Sus scrofa: one gene and its partners. The protein of the gene in region 1 interacts with the protein of each later gene in a pairwise test. Links are inferred from orthologs where the notes say so. Each region holds a gene or a part of one and is shown on either strand. Other genes may lie near its edges. The genes, in order: PNMA5, CCNC and VIM.

What was found.
Region 2: the proteins of PNMA5 (region 1) and CCNC interact in binary tests that used the Homo sapiens proteins (3 or more experiments, as listed by UniProt). The two-hybrid records come from large-scale screens. The link is inferred for Sus scrofa from reciprocal best matches to the Homo sapiens genes PNMA5 and CCNC.
Region 3: the proteins of PNMA5 (region 1) and VIM interact in binary tests that used the Homo sapiens proteins (3 or more experiments, as listed by UniProt). The link is inferred for Sus scrofa from reciprocal best matches to the Homo sapiens genes PNMA5 and VIM.

What each region holds. Positions count from the first base shown.
Region 1 is NC_010461.5:123,997,636-124,001,385, forward strand, and holds PNMA5 (paraneoplastic antigen-like protein 5), read left to right. Parts: upstream 1-1,299; 5' UTR 1,300-1,401; coding exon 1,402-2,712; 3' UTR 2,713-3,566; downstream 3,567-3,750.
Region 2 is NC_010443.5:66,489,730-66,493,379, reverse strand, and holds part of CCNC (cyclin-C), read left to right. Parts: intron 1-358; exon of another isoform or gene 359-384; coding exon 385-491; intron 492-1,185; coding exon 1,186-1,270; intron 1,271-1,489; coding exon 1,490-1,559; intron 1,560-3,650. UniProt on the Homo sapiens protein: Component of the Mediator complex, a coactivator involved in regulated gene transcription of nearly all RNA polymerase II-dependent genes.
Region 3 is NC_010452.4:43,522,940-43,526,589, forward strand, and holds the end of VIM (vimentin), read left to right. Parts: intron 1-216; coding exon 217-437; intron 438-898; coding exon 899-942; intron 943-1,634; coding exon 1,635-1,720; intron 1,721-2,871; coding exon 2,872-2,913; 3' UTR 2,914-3,233; downstream 3,234-3,650. UniProt on the Homo sapiens protein: Vimentins are class-III intermediate filaments found in various non-epithelial cells, especially mesenchymal cells. Vimentin is attached to the nucleus, endoplasmic reticulum, and mitochondria, either laterally or terminally.

The DNA of each region.
Region 1 (3,750 bases):
GTGTGAGGGGTTGAGCTTAGGTGGGGTGGAGCTTAAGATGGAGTTTGTGCCTCAGTAGGAGTGGGACTTGGCAGTGAGTTTGAGATCCGGGTGGAACTGAGGAAAGGTAATAACCTGCCCTAGCACTGAGTACCAGTTGAGCAGTTTCTTGTATTCCAGTACCAGAATACTTGTGGGCACCTCTGTATATAGAATTGGCATAGGCAGAGCAGCAGCATGTCAGCCAGAACCATAGCAAAATACCTGTGCTTGGCCTTGGACAGATCCAGTGAAGCAGTACCCACCACCCCAGGACCAGAAACTGCCTGACTGGCCAGATCCCCAGGGCAGGCCTAGTGTTGAGTGCGGGTGAAATCCCCTCATCTGCACTGTGAATGGGTCCCTAATCAGATGGTAAATAGCTGGGAGGTGGGCCTGTGTTGCAGAGGCTTCTGTAACCCTGATGAAAAGCAGGAGGGGCGGGGTTGCCTGCCTGCCAAGGGTCTGGCAGAGTAAGGTCAAAGCCAGGGTGAGCATTGTCTGTTTCCTACGGTGTGGTACTGGAGACCCTTTTGGAGTCCCTTTTCTGTCCTTGCTTCTAGCTTCTACACAGTTTGAAACTAAGTTCTTTTTCAGTACTTGATCCTTGCTGCCCACCCCCCCCCATTCCCCTCCCTCTTCATGGGTTGGAGGCCAGTGACATCACCTGTTGCTCCTTAGCCTTTCCGCATGACACCCCCTGTGAAACCCGTAGTCCACATGCTTCATCCATGGCAACACTGCAGCTTGTCACACGTTCTCCATACCCACCAGCTTCAATGCCCTGTGCAGCGCTCCAGCCATCTTTCTCCTTTGTCAGGCATATCCTGAGAAAGGAGGGAACGCCACATCTCTGTCCTCTAAACTTTGCCCCAGCAGTAAGGGTACCAGGTGCCCTGGGCCTGCACAGCCCCGAGCCAGGGAGTGGGACAGCCTCTGGTCTTCTCCTAGTTGGAGAGCTTTGAAAGTGTTCCCAGGCATTAGGCCCCACCTCCTGAGGCTGGATTTTTCACTGCAGGCACTTCCAGCACAGACAGTAGGGTCTTCGGACTTTGAGGACGAACCCACGGCAAGCAGAGGTCAGCAGGGAAAGAGTGAGGTGGGGGGAGCTTGGCCTGCAGAGACCCCTCCACCAAATGACTGGGGGAGCCCTGTGAGGCAGAGAATGAGGTTCTGTGAGTGGAAGTGGGGGCAGAGGAGGGGCTTTTGGTGGGGATGGGAGGGTGGCCATTAATGATGCTCTCACCCCATTCACATTATAGGCTGTGGAAACCCAGGACGATTCTGCCTTCATATTTGGCCTTGACTTGCCTGAGTCCTGATCAAACTCTGTGAGCTGGTCCCTGCACCTGGTATTAGATCAGTTCATAGAAAGTGGGAGCAATGGCTGTGACACTGTTGGAGGATTGGTGCAAGGGGATGGACCTGGACCCCAGGAAGGCCCTGCTGATTGTGGGGATCCCCGTGGAGTGCAGTGAGGCTGAAATTAAAGAGACCGTGAAGGCAGGCTTACATCCCCTGTGCACCTACAGGGTGCTGGGCAGAATGTTCAGAAGGGAAGATAATGCTAAGGCAGTTTTCATTGAGTTGGCTGATACTGTCAATTATGCTATGATTCCCAGAGAGATACCAGGAAAGGGAGGTGCCTGGGAAGTGGTTGTGAAACCCCGCAGCTCAGATGATGAGTTTATGAATAGACTCAACTACTTCCTGAAAGACGAGGGCCGGAGAATGGTAGATGTGGCCAAGACCCTGGGATATAGCACTCCCACTGAGGGCATGGAGCCAGAGGCCTCGGATCAGGTCAGGTCACCAGCCTTGCAGCCTCTGAAAGAAAATGTGTGGTACCGAAAACTCAGAGTGTTTTCGGGAAGCACTTTCCCAGGCCCAGACGAAGACAGCTTTGAAGGCTGGCTGGAGCACGTCACTGAGTTGATGCAACTCTGGCAGGTGTCAGAGGTCGAGAAGAGGCGCCGTCTGCTGGAGAGCCTTCGCGGCTCTGCCCTATCTGTCGTGCGGGTGCTCCGGGCCAATGATGAATCTATGACCGTGGAGCAGTGTCTGGACGCCCTGAAGCAAATTTTTGGGACTAAAGAGGACTGCAGAACCTCACAATTTAAGTTCCTCCAGACCTTCCAGAAATCGGGAGAGAAAATCTCTAGTTTTTTGCTACGGTTAGAGCCCCTGCTGCAGAAAGCCGTGCAAAATAGCCCCTTGTCCGTGAGAAGCACAGACATGATTCGCCTGAAACACATCCTGGCTCGGTCCTGCATGAGCACCAGCCTCCGGGCCAAGTTAGAGCTCCTGGATCAGCGAGGTCGTGCTCCCACTTTCCTCGAGTTAATGCAGGTCATTCGAGATGAAGAGGAGTGGGAGGCCACCATGGGCCTGACGAAGGAGAGGCAAGTGGGGAGGGGCCGCAGGGCCTCCGGCAGGCCGGTGCTGGTGGAAGCCAGTGTCCCAATGCCTCAGGTCGTGGTGCAGACGGGGCCCTTTAACGAGAGCAGCACTCAGACCATCCAGGAAGGGATTAGCCTGTCCCTGAAGCGCAGGCGCATGTCATGCTGCTACGGTAGTGGGGAGGGAGGCCACAGCCAGGCAGCATGTCCTAGCGTGGAGAACCAAGCTCCAGCAAACAGAAGCCTCAGTTTGCAGCAGCAGAGTCGGGAAACGAGATGGGGGCTGGGGCAATGAGCCACCCCGAGCCCTAGGAAGCGTAGGCTCAGTACTCCAGGCACCCCTTCCCCTAGCAGGCAACTAAAATATTTTAATGAGATGAAGGAGCAGCCCACACCAAGAGCGGGGGACTTGAGGGGGAGAGAGTGGCAGGGCAGCCAGGCCCAGGCCGAGCCCCCTTGTCTTCTGCCAGCTCAGAGGGGCTCTACCAACCAAGCCCCATGCAGCCCAGTGAGGGCCAGTCAGCACAGGGCCTGGGAGAGGCACTGGCAATGCAAGCAGGGGGCCAGCACACTCGGCAGGTGGGGTGGCCAAGCCTCGGAGAGAGACCCCAAGGCAGAAGAGGCTGAAGAAGGTGTGGTGGGGGGCTCCGGCATGGACCCTGGCATCTGGCCACTCCTTAATGCCCAGAGGGTAGGCTCTGAGCTGATGAAGCTGATGGGCCCCCAGGCCATGTGGGGCCCAGGGGAGCCTCCCCCGGGGCCAGCCCTTCTGGAAGGAGCCAGCGCTGGTGAGGAAGAGCTGTGGGGCGGAGAAGAGATGCCCCGGAGGGGAGCCCGCAGGGTCCAGCCCGTCTTCAGGATCATCTACACCGCTCTAGGGGAGCCCCAGGAAGGCAGCACCCTGGAGCCTCTGCGCAAGTGAGGGGAGGAGACCCAGAGGCCCTGGGAGCCCAGCACCAGCCTACAGGCAGCCTCCTCCCCCTTAAGCTGGAAGGGCTGTGGGGACAAGGTCAGCAAAGTCTGTGCGGAGAAGGTCTCCGTGTCAGAGGCTCAGCTTGAGAGGCAGGGTGCAGGGTACCCTAGTGGGCACAGCTGCTTTGGTGCGAGTGGGTGTGCAAGCGCAAGGAAACTTTAGTTCCCAAGCAGGAGCAGGAGGGAGAGGGCGGGGAAAGAGGACGGGGAGGAGGAAGAGGAGGGGTGGGAGAGTGGAGGAGAAGATGCAGGAGGAGAAGGAAGAAGAGGGAGGAGGATGTAGAAAGAGGAGGAGGGACAAGGAGGGGAGGAGACGGGAAGGAGGAGAGAGGATTGGTGGGTGGGAGGGAGGGGCGTTTGG
Region 2 (3,650 bases), on another chromosome or scaffold:
AAATAATGTCACCATTATTTATCACCAGAAAAGTGTAAACATTACTGCTTATTAAAATGCTAGGATCACCAAAGATGCATCTTGATACCAGAGTCTTAGAATCAGTGAAATACACTATAAAAGTGACATGTGGGAGTGGGAAGAGAGACAAGACAGACTGAGAAGGAAGAGAAGATTAGAGCAGATTTTTTTTTCAGGGCACATTTAATTTACACTTATTAGTGAGATAATTCTAACGTCAGAGTTTCAAGAAATGTGAAAAACATCTTTCAAGGTTACTTTTTGTATTTTGTACTAAGACTAAAACTTGTTCATTCTTAGAATGTTTTCTGTGACTTTGTTAGTTGATTTTCTATAGGTTGTCTGAATCTTTGCTTCTTTTAGTTTGCAATGGATTTTGGATAAACAAGATCTGTTGAAGGAACGCCAAAAGGACTTAAAGTTTCTCTCAGAAGAAGAGTATTGGAAATTACAGATATTTTTTACAAATGGTAAACTTTTTTCTTTTAAATTGGTTTAAATAGTATAGTTGGTTAACTCTGAACTAAGGTGTTTTTCTGTAGTAATTTGTGACTGTTTTAGTCCCTTTATTTTTTTTTTAACATGTGTATTCTCTTTATAACTTAAATGTATTTTTTTAAAGTGACTTATATGTCAGAGATACTCAAGACAATCTAAAAGTGTTAATCTTCCTAAACAGTTATAATGCATCATTAAACCCAGTTTAAGATTGGCTAAAATGAAGTACTTTGAGGATAAATAATTCTTTGGATTGACATCCTGTATTGGTCATTCCTATCTTACAAGTTTGCTTTGGAGAGAAGGGTATTTGGAATTAGAAGGTCTTTGCTGTGCCATGTGGTGGCTTTGTCCAGGATCTTTCTAAGCCTCAGTTCACTCTTATGCAAACCTACCTCTCTGTTGTTTTGAGGATTCATTTTGGATTTTTTATGAACTTTGTAAAACTGATGGGTGTCTGATAAGAGGGGAAATACCTATCATTTAGCCTTAACAAATTTGTAATCCTAGTACTAGACCACTGTGATCCACGTAGAGCATTATAGCATGTGTAAATTTTTCTCTTTGTTAAAAATGAATATAGTCATGATTTAACTGCATGGAAGTTATTGTTCAGTGTTAATATTATATTGATATCAGATTTTATTATTATTATTTTTCTTTTAGTTATCCAAGCATTAGGTGAACATCTTAAATTAAGACAACAAGTTATTGCCACTGCTACGGTCTATTTCAAGAGATTCTATGCCAGGTAGGGCTGTGTTATTTTGGGACTGTTATTTGTATTTAAAATATCATGTATTTGAAACTCTTATGTAATGAGGATGAAACTTATGTAAGTAAATCATGTGTTTGCTATAGAGTTGGCCTGATTTTTTTCCCATATAGATGTTTTCTGTATGAATTCTATTTTCATTTGTGTTTGGTCTATGAATATTGCTTAACTTTGTTTAATTAATTGTATTTTTAGGTATTCTCTGAAAAGTATAGATCCTGTATTAATGGCTCCTACATGTGTGTTTTTGGCATCCAAAGTAGAGGTATGAACTAATTTTCTGTTCTTCATCAAAGTACAGTCAACGGTATTGGTTAAACCCAGTTTTCACATTACCTGTGTAAAAATAATAAGATGATGATTTACATAAAATATTGAAATTTGTACAAAATCAAAGAAGTATATGCATATCTTTATTTTATATATTCAGTTAAAAAGCACTTATGTAACACTTTACTATGTGCCAAGTGCTATTCTAAGTCCTCTTACAAATATTTTAATCCTCATAACAAACTATGGGGTATATATTTGTAATATCATTTTATAAGTGAAGAAACTGAGACACAAAAAGATTAAGGAGCTGATAAGTGACAGGGTATTTTAACCCTAGGAGTCTAGCTTCTAATCCTATTCTCCTTTTTTTTGTTTTTTTGTTTTTTTTTTTGTTTGTTTGTTTTTGCCTTTTCTAGGGCCACTCCCACAGTATATGGAGATTCCCAGGCTAGGGGTCTAATTCCATAGCCTCCAGCCTATGCCAGAGCCATAGCAACAAGGGATCCGAACCACGTCTGCAACCTACACCACAGCTCAGTGCTTAAATCACTGAGCAAGGCCAGGGATTGAACCCGCAACCTCATGGTTCCTAGTCAGATTCCTTAACCACTGTGCCACGACGGGAACTCCTCCCATACTCTTAACTGCTTTGCTTTACTACCTTTAAGATATTTATTGTTTGGTTCTAAGGAGTATTTCATAATTGCCACAGCTTATCCACTATAACTTGAGAATGTTCTTCCTTCTCAAACTCCATATGTGTCCTATGTCCTGCTGTTTTTCCTTCCTGCCTCCTAATGATTGGTTGCCTAGGAGAACCAGAGTAGCTGCAGATATACTCCTTCTAGCAAGGAATAATTTGGGTTGTGAAGGTTGAGAAATTAGGTGAGAAAGAGAAGAGAGATGGGAACCTGCAGCTGAGACCAAATCTTGGATCACTTTATTTACCCTTTCAGTATTTTTTGAGAGAGCTCAGCTAAAATCCAGGTACTAATAGCACGTATTGACTGGTGTTCATAATAATTCATGTTATCTTAGGTAATATGAATCCTATGTATTATGTTTCTATTTTTAGATGATGTCTTCAGAATAGTAATTGCTTCCTTTAATATTGAATGTAATTGTAAGTGGTAATTTAAGGAGGCAGAACCAGCCCTGTTGTTTTTTAAGAAAGTGATTGTAAAAGGTCTGTATTATGGGGTGGTTTTCCCAAATATCACCATATAATTTTATGTGGCTGAAGGACAGCCAATATGGGTAACCAAGATCAAATCTTTATAAACTTTTACTTTTATAAATTAACTTGGAGTTTTATCCTAGTTATATCCTTGTAACAATATCTTTTGCTACATGACTTGCTGAGTATAACCCTATTTTATGATTTACTAAGTGAAAGCTTTTGCTTTAAGAATTTTAAGGTAAAGAATTATCCCTAGGAAAAAATGTATCCTTTCATATTCAGTTATAGCATTTTTTTTTATCTTTATGACCAAATCTATCTGTGTTTTGTCTGCTTGTGTGAAAATTGTATTGAAAGACATTAAAAAGATGTCTCAGGCATTTAATTTCCAGTTTCAGTTATTACAGTTTGAGGTTTAAATGTAAATATAAATATATACACAGGCATACACAGGTGCCGTCTCCCCCCACCACTGTGGGTTTTTGAATAAACTATATATGGTTTAGTTTCTTTTGTTGGATAAGGAACCAATTCTTGATTTTTTTTCAGCTTTAAAATAAAGAGTTTAGTAATCCTATAAAGTTAGTAAAATGAAATGAGACTGTATGTAAGATGAAACACCTCATAAATTTTAGTTATTTTTAGAGAGTTCCATTGTGGCTCAGGGGGTTATGAACCTGACTAGTGTCCATGAGGAGTTGGGTTCCATCCCTGGCCTTGCTCAGTGGGTTAAAGATCCAGCATTGCCATGAGCTGCGGTGTAGGTTGTAGATACGGCTTGGATCCCGCCTGGCTGTGGCTGTGGCATAGGCTGGCAGCTGCAGCTCCAGTTCAACCCTTAGCCTGGGAACTTCCATATGCCACAGGAATGGTCCTAAAAAGTTTAAACAAAAATAAGTTGTT
Region 3 (3,650 bases), on another chromosome or scaffold:
AAATGAAAAGAATTTGGAAATCCAGAGGTTTTAGTTTACATACATTATGGCTTCCGCTAGGAAGAGGATTTGGTACTTAGATTTTCTGCCTAAAATTGGAGTATTTCCCATTTGCTGCCGGGGTCCCATTTGCACATGGTCTAGAAATGGTTGAGGGAATGGCTGGTTTTTTTATGCCCCTGGGGAAATAACACTGGCAGCCTTTCTCATCTGCAGAACGAGTCTCTGGAACGCCAGATGCGGGAAATGGAAGAGAACTTTGCCGTGGAAGCTGCTAACTACCAAGACACTATTGGCCGCCTGCAGGATGAGATTCAGAACATGAAGGAAGAGATGGCCCGTCACCTTCGTGAATACCAAGACCTGCTGAATGTCAAGATGGCTCTCGACATTGAGATTGCCACCTACAGGAAGCTGCTGGAAGGAGAAGAGAGCAGGTGGGGACCGGGGGTGGGTGGGAGTGAATTCCTGGCTGCCATTTGCATCAAGCTTCTCGCTTTCTATGCATTATCTCATTCAAACTTTACAACCTTTCCTCAAGGTAGCTCCTTGCCACTTTGTACAGATGAGGAGCCTTCAGTTTAGAGAGAGTGAGTTATGCCTTGGTCCTAGTCAGTTAATCCACTCTCAGAGCTGGGATTTGAACCTATGATGCTGTGAAAACCAACAGTCACTCTAGAATCCCTCCACTCTAGAATACTGCCAGCCCCTTGGAGAAAAAGGCTTGGAGTAAAATATTTAAGTGTCCTAATGAGATCAAACATGGGTTAATGCTTCTGAAGCAAATCATTCACCTGTGAATTTATGAGTCGATTTTCCTATTTGATGAAAACAAACATATACATTTGTTCCTTGTTGTCTTCCAAAAATTTTACTGTTTTTCTTTGTCTCTTTGTAGGATTTCTCTGCCTCTTCCAAATTTTTCTTCCCTGAACCTGAGGGGTAAGCATTTGGTTGTCCTATATGAAAAATTTTAGCAGCTTGTAACTGTTCTGTTTATAAAGCACTCATTTTTTAAATGATACCTGAAAAATACCCCACAAGAGAACATTTTGTAAGACAGCCATAATTTTCTTTTTTTTTTCTTTATTTTCCTTTTTTTTTTTTTTTTTTTTTTTAATGGCTGTACCTGCAGCAAATGGAAAGTATGCTAGGGGTTGAATCAGAGCTGCAGCTACAGGCCTAAGCCACAGCAAACACCAGATCTGAGCCACAGCTGCTACCTACACTGCAGCTAGCAGCAATGCTGGATCCTTAACCAACTGAGCGAGGGCAGGGAAGGAACCCGCATCCTCATGCACACTATGTCAGGTTCTTAACACACTGAGCCACAGTGGGAACTCCCAGCCACAATTTTCAAACCCCAGTGCTGTCTTACATTCTGTACTTTCAGGTAAATTGAAATCCATTTTTCTTCCTCCTGATGGAGGAGACAGTGAAGCTGTCCATCTCATTGACTATCCCGAGTGGTGTCGGTCCCCTAGGTTTTAAAATAGGTGACAGTCTTTAGAATTATCACAGGAATAGTGCTTTAAACAATCACAAACAGAAGTCCTCATTCCTTGGACCAAGTAGTTTCTGGTCTTTTTAAACATTTCGCTTTTACTCACTGGGGGCCTGTTTTCTTTATCCAGAAACCAATCTGGAATCCCTCCCTCTGGTTGACACCCATTCCAAAAGGACACTTCTGATTAAGACGGTTGAGACCAGAGATGGACAGGTGGGTATCTTTAAATCAAAACGGGAGTAACCTCAGACAGGCACTGAGAAATGTTTCAATCAGTAAGTCTGTCTCAGATACAGCCAGTGAATTTGGGAGGTTTCAGTTTCACCCATGCGTCCTAGAAGAATAGGCCTGTTCTATCCAGTATTACACACGGCCAGCTAATTCTTTGGCTTCTAGATCTGAAGGTGAGATGGTAATCTACCTACAGTTCAAAATTAGTGACTTGCTTTGGTGCGTAATTTGAAAGAGGAGTGCAGCATCCTTAAGCTACTGCCTCATCTGGCTTCATTAGACTACTTTCAGTATTAGGAATATTTTGATCGTGGCTATAAGGCCTTCCCTGGACACTCCTAGACCCTGTTAGAATATAATACAAGGACTTTCCATATGATTAAGTAATTTCTTATTACCTCTCTCTGGCAAGAAACAGTTGAAGTGTATTGTAATCTTTATAATCTTCCTTTGCACATAAAATATACTTGGTGTACATTTTAACTGGCTTTAGTTGCTTTTAAATTTTGTTGCTTATGACAATTACAGCATCCTTCTGTATAAACACAGTATTTTTTTTTTTTTTTGGCCTTGCCTGTGGCATATGGAAGTTCCCCAGCCTTGAACTGAACCCCTGCCACAGCAGCCACCGAGCTGCTGCAGTGACAACACCAGATCCTTAGCCACTAGGCCACCAGGAAACGCCAATATAGTATTTTTGTTGTTGTTGTTGTTTCCTTTTTTGCCCACCCCGTGGCATATGGAACTCCTGGGCCAGGGATCAGATCCGAGCCGCAGTTGCGACAATACCAGATCCTTAACCCACTGTGCTAGGCTGGGGATCAAACCTGTGTCCCAGCGCTTGCAAGGTGCTATCCATCCCGTTGTGCCATAGCGGGAGCTCCCAATATAATATTTTTTTTTTAAGTTTCTTTTTTGAAGTCATCACATTTATTGGATACCTATTTTGCTTGTATAGGTCTGTCTTCCCCCTTACCGTGCATGATTCTTGTCATGCAGGACCAACATAATCTTCCAACTTTCACAATAAATTATATACATTTCATAGGATTTTTCTTTGACATGCTTTCTGGGGTAACTTAATCATAGGTATGTAGCATTATGTTTGACCAGAGTCCTCTTTTGCTTATCAGGTTATCAATGAAACTTCCCAGCATCACGATGATCTGGAATAAGAACTGCATGTACTCTGTGCAGCGAAATATTACCAGCAAGAATAAAAAAGAAATCCGTATCTTCAAGAAATAGCTTTCAAGTGCCTTTCTGCAGTTTTTCAGGAGCGCAAGATAGGTTTGGAATAGGAATAAGCTCTAGTTCTTAAAAACCAACACTCGTAAAAGATTTAGGAAAAAAGTTTACAACATAATCTAGTTTACCGAAGAAGCCTTGTGCTAGAATACTTTTTAAAAAGTATTTTTGAATACCATTAAAACTGCTTTTTTCCATCAAATATCTGACCAACTTGTTTCTGCTTCAATAAATCTTTGGAAAACTCTTTTGGTGTCTTACTTATTTGATAATAGTGAAACAGTGCTCTAAATTTTAGGAGAATAGGTGTTTGGGTTAAATATTTTTTTAGTCTTCTTGGTTAAACTGCCTCGAAAGTCAGGGTTAGGTTAACTTTAAAAAATTCAACTTTATGCTTGAAGCATGATTGTTGTTCATTTGGTCATTTTAGACCTCACTTTGCAGTTAAGTTCTTTTTTAAACCTACAAATAGATGTTATACAATAAAATAACCTATAAACAAAATGATAGGTCTTTTCATAAAATGAGTCCAGCTGGGTCTGTGTTCATGTATAACTTCAGTTCTAACAAATAGACCCACTAAAACTGAAAATCTCTGACTAAAATGGAAACTGATTTTTGATATGTGCAGGATATAAGTGGTACACTCCACTGTGGAGGTGAA